Cricetulus griseus: one gene and its partners. The protein of the gene in region 1 interacts with the protein of each later gene in a pairwise test. Links are inferred from orthologs where the notes say so. Each region holds a gene or a part of one and is shown in the gene's direction. Other genes may lie near its edges.

Region 1 (3,500 bases):
AAGAGGACACCTTCCTCAATGCCAAACCCATAAGTACCCCCCAAAATCATAGGGCATGTATCACATAAAGGGACCGAGTAAACAAGTCTAGAAAAGTGTGCTTGATCGTTTCAGATCACCCCATGGGGCACACACCTAACCTTGCCACTTCTGTATGGCTGTGTTTCATGATTCAGTCTGCCAGACAAGGTTTAATCTGATCTCATCCCTTATGGGCTCCAAGCATTTAGAATCATGTGTCTTCTGTCCCTGTTTTATTGTCTGTGCCATTTGCTCAGCTTAGCCCATCTAGTTCATACTTGCATGGCATTCTACAAGATCCTGTGTGAACATGGATTAGCTTCCCCCACTGTCTTTACCCATCATGACAGTGTCTTGTGAACCTAACTCTCACTTGACCAAATCCTTAAGGTCAAAGACTACTTCTTAATTACCATTGGAGTAATTCAGTTCATGGTCATTGTGCATCTGGTGAATAAAAACTAGAAAAAGAGTGTAGGTATCTGTTTTAGTATGAGATGAAATGATGAGGTCTTGGGGTTAAGTCATTGGGAATACTTTGAAGAGTTCTAGAAGTGATCCTTTCCTGTTCAGTACCTTTGCTTGTCATGTACAGAGCCTGACCCAGATGGAGAGGGAAAAAATTGTTTGGGAGTTTGAGCAGCTGTATCACTCCTTAAAGGAACATGAATATCGCTTGTTAGCTCGCCTTGAGGAGCTAGACTTGGCCATCTACAACAGTATCAACGGTGCCATCACTCAGTTCTCCTGCAACATCTCTCACCTCAGTGGCCTGATTGCCCAACTGGAAGAGAAGCAGCAGCAGCCCACCAGGGAACTCTTACAGGTAACCAGGAGAACTCTACAGGCAGCTTGGTGGGCACAGCAGGACAAGGCAGCTTTTGCTGTTGACAGGCAGGGTTCATGATTCCTTTATCCTTTATAACTTCTGAAGTGTTGGGCATTTTGGAAAGAAAACCTGTATACTAGAAGTTGTGACTGACAACTCAGTCCTTCAGTTGCATTGTATCATGGAAAGGGCAAAAGAAAAACCTAGTCTTTGGGCCTGTGCTGCCCTAAGTGGTTAGGGCCTCATAGATTTCATTTGCTCAGTATAGATTATAATAAAGTATTTGGACCACATATCATTCAAGATCCTTTCATTATCTTGGTTTTTTTTTTTTTTTTTTTTTTTTGGTTTTTCAAGACAGGGTTTCTCTGTGTAGCTTTGGAGCCTATCCTGGCACTCACTCTGGAGACCAGGCTGGCCTCGAACTTACATACAAAGATCCGCCTGCCTCTGTCTCCAGAGTGCTGGGATTAAAGGCGTACGCCACCAACGCCAGCTTATCTTGTAATTTTAATATATGTATGTCTATACTACCACAGCCAGAAGACATGGAGACAGGTACAGTTAACCTAAACATTGCTGTAATTTTCCTGTTTTAATATAGCTGAGAAAAGACAATGTACTCATAGGACAAGACCACAGTAGATGATCTACTTACTGCCTGCCTTCTTGTCTTATCTTCCATTGTTGAGGGCACTGGAATTAAGTGCTAGATAAATAAGCTTTCCTTAATTATGTTTTAGTTTGAAGTTTATATAGTAAGTAAATGGTTATCACATGATAATAAGTGCCATTTTAAAAGAGTCATGGGATAGTACAATTGTGAGCAGATTATGGCCTGTCTTGTTTTTGTTGGTGCTTAGAATTAAGTAGCTTTTTATATTTTAAGATGTTTGGGAAACATAAGAATGTTTTTCATCATAGGCAAAAATGTATATTGAGATGAGATGTCCATAAGTTTTTATTAGACATAGCCGTGCTCATTCATATATTTATATATATATATATTATCATTCATCACTGCTTTCCTATTACATCAGCAGTACTGAGTATTTGTGTAGATTATAAAACCTAAACTGTTTACCATCTAACTCTTCAAGAAAAAGTTTACTAACATGTTTTAGCACAGTAAGGGAAGACAACTTAAGCCTTGATGAATGTCACTTTTTTATTGCTAGAGAGAGAAGAGATAGTTTGAAAAGGAGACTACTAACCTGTGAGGCAGAATGACCAGGACAGTGGAAGTAGATGACAGTCTGGGTGTAGGTGATGCCCAGCAGTATCAGAGCTTTTTAAATGAATGTTGGGAGTTGAAAAGTGACCAGGTGGGGTGAGTAGAAACTCAGAGTAGAGACTATTTGAAGGATGGTGGTGGAGAAGATTCCTAGAGACAAGGAGAAGTCTGTGCCTTTGTCTGGAGGGACTGCTTGAAGAAACTAAACATATTTAAAGTGTGAGGAGGGTGCCTGTGGTAAGGATGGGGTGAGAGAGAGGACACATGGACACTGTCTGAAATGATGGGACATCAGAAGTATACACTACTAAGAACATTGTTGGGAAAGCATCTGCTCTCTGAGGCAGGGTAGGATCGTTTGGTCAATAACAAATTGATAATGACTGATGATAGGTAGGTGTGGATATGTGATAGTGAGGGCATGCATGTGCCATGCATGATACACGTGTGTGGACGTCATAGGATAACTGTGTAGAATCAGTCCTCTCCTTCCACCTTTATGTGGGCCCTAGGGCTTGAACTCAGGTCATCTGGCTTGCAAGGCTGGTGCTCTTACCCATTGACCCCCAGTGACTATTTATTGGATTGTTCTGCCCTTTGTGGGTGATGTTGGTTGCTTTGCCTTCTCGGGTCTTCACTGCTCCTGTGTAAGCACTGAGAAACAGAATTGGGCCTGTTTGGGTTGGGTTTTTTTTTTTTTTTTTTTTTTTTTCTTTTGCATGGAAAACACAAATTTCTCCATTTCACAAGGTCATTTCTGTAATACAAAAATAGCATTTTAAAATAGTGAGTTCGGTGACCAGCTTTCTATTTAGATCTAGAATACATTTATCATCCCCCCCCCCAAAAGAAAGCCCATTAAGTAGTCCTTTTCATTCCATTCTACCTCTAGTCCCTGTATCTGGGTTTTTACATTTTGGGTATTCAGTAAAATCATACAATATGTGACTTTTTAATTTTGGCTTCTTTTACTCAGCATAAATTTTTCAATATTCATCCACATTATGGAATTAATTAATACCTTATTTCTTTTTGTAGCTTAATGATATTCCATTGTATGTCCTACTCTTTTTTTTTTTTTTTTTTTTTTTTTTATTATGGAACTTAGATTCACCTGCCTCTGCCTCCTGAGTGCTGGGATTCAAGGCATGTGTGCCCATCTTCTATTTGTTTGTTTGTTTACTTGTTTATTTGTTTGATGTTCATTGGTTCATTGGTGTTTTGCCTGCGTATATGTCAGTGAGGGTGACAGGGAACTGGAGTTACAGACAGGTGTGAGCTGTCATGTGGGTGCTGGGAATTGAACATGGGTCTATGGAAGAGCAGCCAAGGCTCTTAACCACTGAGCCATCTCTTCAGCTCCCCCCCCCCATCCATTTTTTTTTTTTTTTTTTTTTTTTTTTTTTTTTTTTTTTT
Region 2 (4,026 bases), about 210 Mb from region 1:
CGAAAATAAATCACAGTGCCTGTGGGGATTTGAACTGGGCAATTCCGGAGCTTGGTTGTTGATTCAGTGACCGTTGCGGGAACAAGTAGATCATGCTGGGTAACTTGGGGGCCACTAATGTGTCTTCTACCTCCGCTCCCGGAAAGTTAAACCATGTTTAAGGGAAACATCCGAGAGAGCACTTCCAGGCCTTCCAAGGCAGAGGTCTTTTAGGGCAGAGGTGGTTGTTTATTTTAAAGACAGAATGAGGTGGTAGGAAATTAAAATTACCCAATCAAACGAGTTGTCTTCCTTAAGCTTGACAGATTTTTTTAAAAATTAATTTTCTTCTGCAGCAACGAAAGAGAAACCAGATTGCAAAACGAAATGAAGAAAAGAGTCCCCCAAATTTCCGAACCATCACTACTCCTCTCACTCCTCTTGTCGGGTACTTGAAACCTGGTCCGCCTGGGGCCGACCTGCCGTGCACCCTCAATTCCCTTGCAAGCTCCGAATTGCTGAGGCCAAGTGTGGGTCTAGGACTCCGTGCTTCCAGACCAGGCCTGGAGCTCGGTGAGTCGGTAGCGGAGAGGCCTGCCTGCCTGCTTACAAGTACCCACCCCTCCCGCTATCCCCCCCCCAACCCCTCCCCCGTCCAGCAAGCCGGGTGTGCCGCTGCGGCTCAGTCCCTCCCGCCTCGGGAAAGGGTAGTGGTGGGCATGGAGGAGGGGGGCTGTGAGCGCCCCCGCCAGAGAGGCCCGGTTGGCTGCAGGTGGCGAAGAAGGTGAGGTGCAGGAACCCGAGGGGTGCTAGGGAGGAGGAAAGAGTGTGTGGGGAGTGTTTGGAGGCTGGGACCCCGGGGGTGGGGGTGGCGATGGGAGGGAGGAGGGACAGGGTGGGGGAGGGCGACGGAGGAGGTGCGGGCTCCTGCCAGAGAGGAAGGGAACAGCAGAGGAGCTGGCTCAGACCTTAATCAGAGCTCTCACCGGCTCCTTGCAGCGGCTGGAGAGTCTGGGCTAAGGAGGACCAGCGGGTGGAGCTTGCGCCCTCAGGGGCAGCAGACAGAGACGCGGCCCGCGTGCCACCAGCCAGGCGGTTCAGGCTGCGAGCGCCTCCGGGGCCGGGGAGACCGCTGCGGTACCTCCGGCTGCCGCCGATCTTCCGAGACCCCCGGGAGCAGGCCTCCCAGCTCTGCGGTCCAGCTACTGCCTCCCTGCTCCTGCCGCCGGCCGGGGGGAGCCCCGGGCATGAACGGCTACGGCTCCCCCTACCTGTACATGGGCGGCCCGGTGTCGCAGCCACCGCGGGCGCCCCTGCAGCGCACGCCTAAGTGCGCGCGCTGCCGGAACCACGGGGTGCTGTCCTGGCTCAAGGGCCACAAGCGCTACTGTCGCTTCAAGGACTGCACCTGCGAGAAATGCATCCTGATCATCGAGCGGCAGCGGGTGATGGCGGCTCAGGTGGCCCTTCGCCGGCAACAGGCCAACGAGAGCCTGGAGAGCCTCATCCCGGACTCGCTGCGGGCTCTGCCGGGGCCCCCGCCGCCGGGGGACGCCGCTGCCGCCGCCTCGCAGTCGTCGCCAGCCTCCCAGCCGTCCCAGCCGCCGGCGCCGCCTCGTCCCGCCGCCGAGTTGGCTGCAGCTGCCGCGCTGCGCTGGACCACCGCGGAGCCCCAGCCCGGAACGCTGCCCGCGCAGCTCGCCAAGCCAGGTGAGAGCGTCTGCTAGGCTGGGGTCAGCCTCGAAGGAGGAAACTTCGAGTGCCCTTGGGGATCCGTTTGGAAGGCGAGGGCACGTTTGTAGGAAGTTGACCTGATTGGGCCTACATCCCCAGCAGACACTGACTCTTACTCTCCGGGAAAAGTGAGTCTCTTACAGAGTCTGAACCCGATGCAGGTGGAACCCAGGAGCCGGCCAAATATCCAGGCTGTATGTCCCTGTCTCCTGGTGCCTTCTCTGGGCTGAAGGGGAAACTTAACGTCAATTCTACAAACTATTTGTAAAACGAAATCTGGGGAGGGACCGCTTTTAAATGCACCATGATGAGGCGGGTTTTAGGGGGGCTCTCATTTAGGGGTAGGGATAAATAGGTGAGGGTTAGCAGTTAGGGCCCAAGTGCTTTGCTGTTTCTAGGTGAATCTTGGCTTGGCCCGGGACACGGGAGCAAAAAGGCGACATCTTTAACTTAAAGGAGCTCGGACATTGTAGCTGGGTTGAAGACTTGACTTAAAATTCGGTAAAAAAACAAACAAACAAACAAAAAAAACAAAAAGAAAAAGAAAAAAAGTCGCCTTTTAAGAACTGTAGAAACTGTAGATAAAAGGTTCCTGAAGTCGTCAAAGCGAGACCAGCTAACTCTTTTTGTTGAATTACCTCTTTGGTCCTTTAATTCCTTTCCCCAAGTTGCTGTGATTTGAAGAAATTAAAAATAAAACTTGGCCTACCTTGGGGAAAACTTAACAAGTACTTTTCCAGGTTTAGGCAGGCTCGGCCTGCTGTGAAACAAGGGAAAGCTTTTTGGGCCTTCTTGCTTCCCTCTGTTCTCTTTTACTCTCAGAAATGCTTTTATTTGGGGCGTGGTGGTGGTGGTGGTGGTCTGAGCCCTGAAAGTACGCAGACCCCAGTTTCTACCTAATTCTGTCACCCTGGCTCCTTCCTGAGTCTGGCTGCCCCCAGTTTAAGCCTCTTCCCCACTTTCCTCAGAAGGGAACCGCTGGCTTCTCTGCGTGCCCCTCTCAGCAGTGGGAATTCAGTGGACTTGAGTCTGGTGTTTCCCCTCACTGGGTAAACGTACAAAGGCAACAAGCCCATCTCCTCTGAACCGGTGTACTGAAATTAAAAGTGAAAGGCCCACAGTTTTTCTGTTGATAGAGCTGCTGCTACCACTTCCTCAGCTCCTCAAAGACAGCTAGATCTTCTTCAGAAAGGTTTTCTAGAGCCCCAGAGTGCTGAGCTCAACTGCTGAAGATATACACTCCCTGATGTGTGGTGAAATGGTAGGCCAGTCCCGCCTTCTGGCTCAGTTAGGGTATTTAGGCCTGAAGTTCGGAAAGCAGGTTGCTGACCGGGTTTTGTGGATATTTAACTATAAGGGGAATATAAGCATTTCTCTGTAGCACCGCCCCCTCATCGCCTCTTATTTGTGGATTTGCCTTGGAGAGTCTAGAAGGATTCCTTCAGGTGAGAACAAGTAGGAGAGTTTGACCTCAGTTCTAGAAGTGACTCCATGCTACTATCTTTTAATTTTCCATTCCAGTTTCCCTGGCTCTAGGACTAGAGTCTTCCAGGGTAGAGCAGAAGGATGAGTTACAATTCAATTCTGCATTTTGCAATGCCCATCTGCCCACCAGTGCCTCCTGTAGTGCAGGAACCTTGAGTTCCATGGTCTTTGTTCAAGAGGGGTTCCTTCAGCATCGTATGGTCCTCCTCAGATTGGTCTCCAAAATGTATAGTCACAAAACCTAAAACAAGCTGAGAAAGAATTGGGCAAAGGCACTAGGGGGCCAAGCTGAAGCAACAGCGGGGTTCAAGCTTTAGGAGAATAAAAGGGGGCAAAGAATTTCAACTGCACAAACCAGACTTGGGGCTTGTTTTCTCTCCCTCTGCTTCCACCAAATACTCAGGGATAGCTGGAGCCTTCCAAATTGAGAACAATTAATTGGGAGGGGGAAAAGGTAGAAGAATGACTTCCAGAGACTAAGCTGTGAGGGACCAAGGGTTCAGTTCCCAGCTGGCCACAACTATGTACCTTGAACATTCACTAACTTTTGTTTTCGTTTATCAATTGCAGTCCCTTAAGAAAAAAAGCTTGGGAGAGGTTTATAAACTGATTATAATTTTCCACTACAAACACAAATAAATAAGTGGGCTGGTTCTATGCAACACATATAAAAAGCAACTCTGTCGGGAGCCAACACTAAAATTAATTAAAGTAACATTAAAATGGGGCAGTCAAATTAAAACTCCTGGCTAAGACCGCCTGTTGCTGTGTTCCCGTACTTTTGTGCAGAGTATTTGTGTGTGACATGCCATGCATTTTTAGAGGTAG
Region 3 (4,170 bases), on another chromosome or scaffold:
TGGTTATCCGTCTTACGTCTCACGGTGAGTCTCACGGTGAGTCTCACGGTGAGTCTCACGGTGAGTCTCACGGTGAGTCTCACGGTGAGTCTCACGGTGATAGGGGCACAAGATCCAAATAGGTTAATGGCTATAAACCACACCCCAACCACCACCCTATCCCGGCATCCAACCCAATCCAAGGAGCTGCTCCTCCCACTGGGATAGTAGGGCAGGTCTGTGAGTGTGGATAGTGCTACCCTGAGAGGTGTAAACAAAATAAGACAAAGCAGAGACCACAATATAATTAATATAACATCAGGGAAGGCCGCTTAGCAGACCACCCAGTTTCTCCTGGGCACTAAATCTCTCCTGAATGGTCACCACACCACAATCCTTGGAAGACTCACCGTCACCCCGTATTTGAGTGCTAGTCCAGCCAGGGTGTCTCCAGGCTCCAACTGATGCTCCAAGCGTCTTTCCCTCACCGGGGAGCACGATGATTGTACCAGGCTTCCATAAGAACGAGCACGGCTCCCATGCAGCAGCCCTGACCCCCCAAGTGGGGGCTGTCTAGAGGGAGAAGCCATCTCAAGATGCCAAGATCTAGGGTCACAACTGAGGAAAGCTAAGTGACCAACAGTGAGGGCCGAACCCCAGGAATGGATAGATATTCTAGGAATTCCTTCTCACTTCTCTCTTTAGTGTCCCCGCTCTCGAGAGACTACATCAATGCTCCTCTTGCTGCTGCTTACCGAGCTTGGGGTCACAGTCCGTACCCTAAGAAGGCTGCCAGGCCGGTTACATTTCTCCTTCCTCAAGACCCTTGCCCATAAATATCTTCCCTGAGTGGTCGGTCGCCGACCCCTTCGACTTTCGACGCCCTCTCCCCAACTCCTTGCAAGCCTGATCTCTGACCTTTGAACCCTAGACACCCTCATCAACACTCTCCCCTCAGTGTGTCCCCACGTCCCGCAGCCGGGCCGCCGGGAGCCCCCACATCCTCTCTGCTCCAAATCAGGCCCACCCCAGGTAGATCGTGGCTGTGGACGGTGAGCCTGGGGACTGAGAGAGTTTGCAGTACACGGTCCACTGAGATCCCCGAAGCCTCGCTCCACGCCAGGAGGGTCCCACCCTGAAACTCCGGCTCCACGTACAGGTTCTTGGTCTCCAAACACCTGGGTCCTTCGCGATGTGAGTGCCTGTACTCAGGTGAGCGGTGAGGTCTTTTAAAAACAACAAAAAAAAGAAAATAACTAAAAGACTTCATTTCCCAAAAGGCAAAGCGTTCTCAGGGCATCATAGGAAATGCAGGCACCCTCAGGGCTCTGGAGGCGGGTCTTCCGGCTCGCGCGGTGCATGCGTGGAAACGCATCCCCGGAAGTAAAGACTTAATCAGAAAAAGACCGGAAGCAGGGAAGGCGATAACCTACTCTTCCTACGGTGGCCCGAAGGAGAGGCAAAGTAGGCGTAGGAGAATTTATTATTTCTAAGACTCACAGTCGTGATGTCTTTCAAGAGGGAAGGTGACGACTGGAGTCAGCTCAATGTGCTCAAAGTAAGCCCTAGTGAGAGTCTACCCACGAGCAGTGGTGGCGCACGCTTTGAATCCCAGCACTTGCGAGGCAAAAGCCGGTGTGTCCGTGTTGCGTTTGAGGTTCGAGGCCAGCCTGGTCCACACAGCCAGCTCTAGAACAGTCAAGGCTACACGAAGAAACCCTGTCTCGAAAAATCAAAGAACTAGAGAGAGGGAGAGCCCAGCTTCAGTCGCGCTTTGCATTGTTTTGTTGCTCTGGCGACATCTGTGGGAGGGGGTTTCGGGGGCCAGAACTGAGTGATGCCTCCTCCTTCTTACCCTATGGTCTGCTCCATTTGACTCTTTATCCCTGTTATTTCTTTTCATCCATCCCTCATATTCGTTTCTCCTGTCCTGCTCTCTGCAGAAACGAAGAGTTGGAGACTTGCTGGCCAGTTACATCCCAGAGGATGAGGCGCTAATGCTGCGGGATGGACGGTGAGAGCAGAGTGGATCAAGCCTGGGGATTTGCTATCAGAGGCTCAACAGACTTTGGTTTCTAAGGAGATCAGGAGTGTAATAGATCCTTTGGTTGGAAGTGAAGATTGGAAGAGGTGGCGATCGGGAGACCTGGGCGTTGGTGGAGTGCTTTGACAGGCATAGCCCCTAAGTAGGAACACCCCAACCACCGGCTCTCCAACACATACGGGTTTGCCATTCACTTCTCTTTTCCCTAGCTTTGCTTGCGCTATCTGCCCCCATCGACCAGTCCTGGACACGCTGGCCATGCTGACTGCCCACCGTGCAGGCAAGAAGCACCTATCCAGTAAGTACAGGAGAAGGCGGGGAGTGGAGGAATGATAGAGAATACACTCTGAACATTTTGTCAGTCTACTTGATGTTGTGCTTGCTTTCCTTTTCAGGTTTGAAGCTCTTCTATGGCAAAAAGCAATCAGGCAAGAAAACAGAGCAAAAACCAAGACAGCAAAATGAATTGAAGACAGAAAGCAAAGCCGAGGTGAGAGATCTGGTCAGGTGTTGTTCAGGCAGGGCTGTACTGCATGCAACAGGACTTTTGCCTAACATCTCCAACTGTGTCTTCTTCTCTTGATAACCAGGCACCTTTGCTAACCCAGACTCGATTAATCACCCAGAGTGCTCTGCACAGAGCTCCTCACTATAGCAGTTGCTGCCGGAGGAAGCACAGGTCTGTAGAGGGGGAAATCCGGAAGTGGGAAAGGGTAGAAGGAAATAGATGGTTCTGAAGTTACTGCTCTCCAAACTGTACTCTGAGAAACACTAATCTTGTGGAGATGTTGTTTAAAGAAAAATGATAGTTTGTGGTTTGTTTTGTTTTTGTTTTTTGTTTTGGTTTTTCAAGACAAGAGTTTCTCTCTGTAGCTTTGGAGCCTATCCTGGCACTTGCTCTGGTGACCAGGCTGGCCTCGAACTCACAGAGATCCCCCTGCCTCTGCCTCCTGAGTACTGCAATTAAAGGCGTGGGACACCATCGCCTGGTGATAGTTTGTGATTTTAAAATAAATTTTAGCCGGGTGTTGGTGGCTCACACTTTAATCCCAGCACTCCGGAGACAAGGCAAGTAGATCTCTGATCTATAGAGTGAGTTCCAGGACAGCCAAGTCTACACCAAACAAACAAAAACCCTGCCTTGAAAAACAAAATAATGCACACACACACAAAAAAATAGTAACATTATTGCTGGATGGTGGCACACGCCTTTAATCCTGGCACTCCAGAAGCAAGGCCAGTGGGTCTCTGAGTTCCAGGCCAGCCGGGGCTACAGAGGAAAAAAAAAAAAAAGTAACATAATCTGGGCATAGTGGTACACTTTTTTGTTTGTTATTGAGAGGGGATCTCCCTTTGTAGCCCTGGCTGTCCTGGAACCCTGCTATTTAGACCAGGGTGGCCTCAAACTTACAGAGATCTGCCTTTCTCTGCCCCTTAAGTGCTGCAGGTACTAAAAGTGTGTACCACCATACCTGGTTATGGAAAATCTTGAGGCAAAAGCGTAGAACTATTAAGCTGGCTTTTCTCAAGTTCCTAATTCCAAAATCTTTCATATGTAAAATATTTAAGATCTTATGGAACTCAAGCTGGGTGTGGTGGTATACACTTTTAATCCCAGTACTTAGGAGGCAGAGGCAAGTGGATCTCTGTAAATTTAAGGACAGCCTCATCTACCTAGTAAATTCCAGGTCCATCATATGTACTCTATCTCCAAAAAAGCAAACAAAAAAACCTCAGGAACTAGCCAGGCAGTGGTGGCTCACGCCTTTAGTCCCAGCACTCTGGGAGGCAGAGGTAGGCAGATCTCTGTGAGTTCTAAACCAGCCTGATCTACAAGAGCTAGTTCCAACAGCCTCCAAAGCCACAGAGAAACCTTGTCTCAAAAAACCGAGGAAAAGAAAAAAAAAAAAAACAAAAAACTCAGGAACTCAGTTTAGGAAACACTGCTCTTCAGGCTTGGGAGGCACGGGGAAGCTGCTACTTTCCTTCTGTGCATTTAACAGGCTTGGTTTCTTTTCTCCCCAGACCAGAGGCTCCTGCTCCCTCTGTCTCCAGTTCTCCTTTGCCTGCCCCAGAGGTTGGACTCCAGAGTGCAAAGATCAGTAGGGAACCTGAGACTAAGGCAGGATCACATGCCAAAGAGTCAT

Evidence for each region. The genes of interacting proteins can lie anywhere in the genome.
Region 2: the proteins of Trim27 (region 1) and doublesex- and mab-3-related transcription factor 3 interact in binary tests that used the Homo sapiens proteins (3 or more experiments, as listed by UniProt). The two-hybrid records come from large-scale screens. The link is inferred for Cricetulus griseus from reciprocal best matches to the Homo sapiens genes TRIM27 and DMRT3.
Region 3: the proteins of Trim27 (region 1) and Scnm1 interact in binary tests that used the Homo sapiens proteins (3 or more experiments, as listed by UniProt). The two-hybrid records come from large-scale screens. The link is inferred for Cricetulus griseus from reciprocal best matches to the Homo sapiens genes TRIM27 and SCNM1.

Annotation. Positions count from the first base shown.
Region 1 is NC_048596.1:243,532,132-243,535,631, forward strand, and holds part of Trim27 (zinc finger protein RFP), read left to right. Parts: intron 1-616; coding exon 617-847; intron 848-3,500. UniProt on the Homo sapiens protein: E3 ubiquitin-protein ligase that mediates ubiquitination of various substrates and thereby plays a role in diffent processes including proliferation, innate immunity, apoptosis, immune response or autophagy.
Region 2 is NC_048596.1:35,690,677-35,694,702, reverse strand, and holds the start of doublesex- and mab-3-related transcription factor 3, read left to right. Parts: upstream 1-1,226; coding exon 1,227-1,689; intron 1,690-4,026. UniProt on the Homo sapiens protein: Probable transcription factor that plays a role in configuring the spinal circuits controlling stride in vertebrates.
Region 3 is NW_023276806.1:61,367,208-61,371,377, forward strand, and holds the start of Scnm1 (sodium channel modifier 1), read left to right. Parts: upstream 1-1,370; 5' UTR 1,371-1,486; coding exon 1,487-1,537; intron 1,538-1,922; coding exon 1,923-1,993; intron 1,994-2,232; coding exon 2,233-2,321; intron 2,322-2,418; coding exon 2,419-2,513; intron 2,514-2,613; coding exon 2,614-2,702; intron 2,703-4,048; coding exon 4,049-4,170. Other genes in the region: Lysmd1 (lysM and putative peptidoglycan-binding domain-containing protein 1), read right to left, coding at 390-585, 1,137-1,249. UniProt on the Homo sapiens protein: As a component of the minor spliceosome, involved in the splicing of U12-type introns in pre-mRNAs. Plays a role in the regulation of primary cilia length and Hedgehog signaling.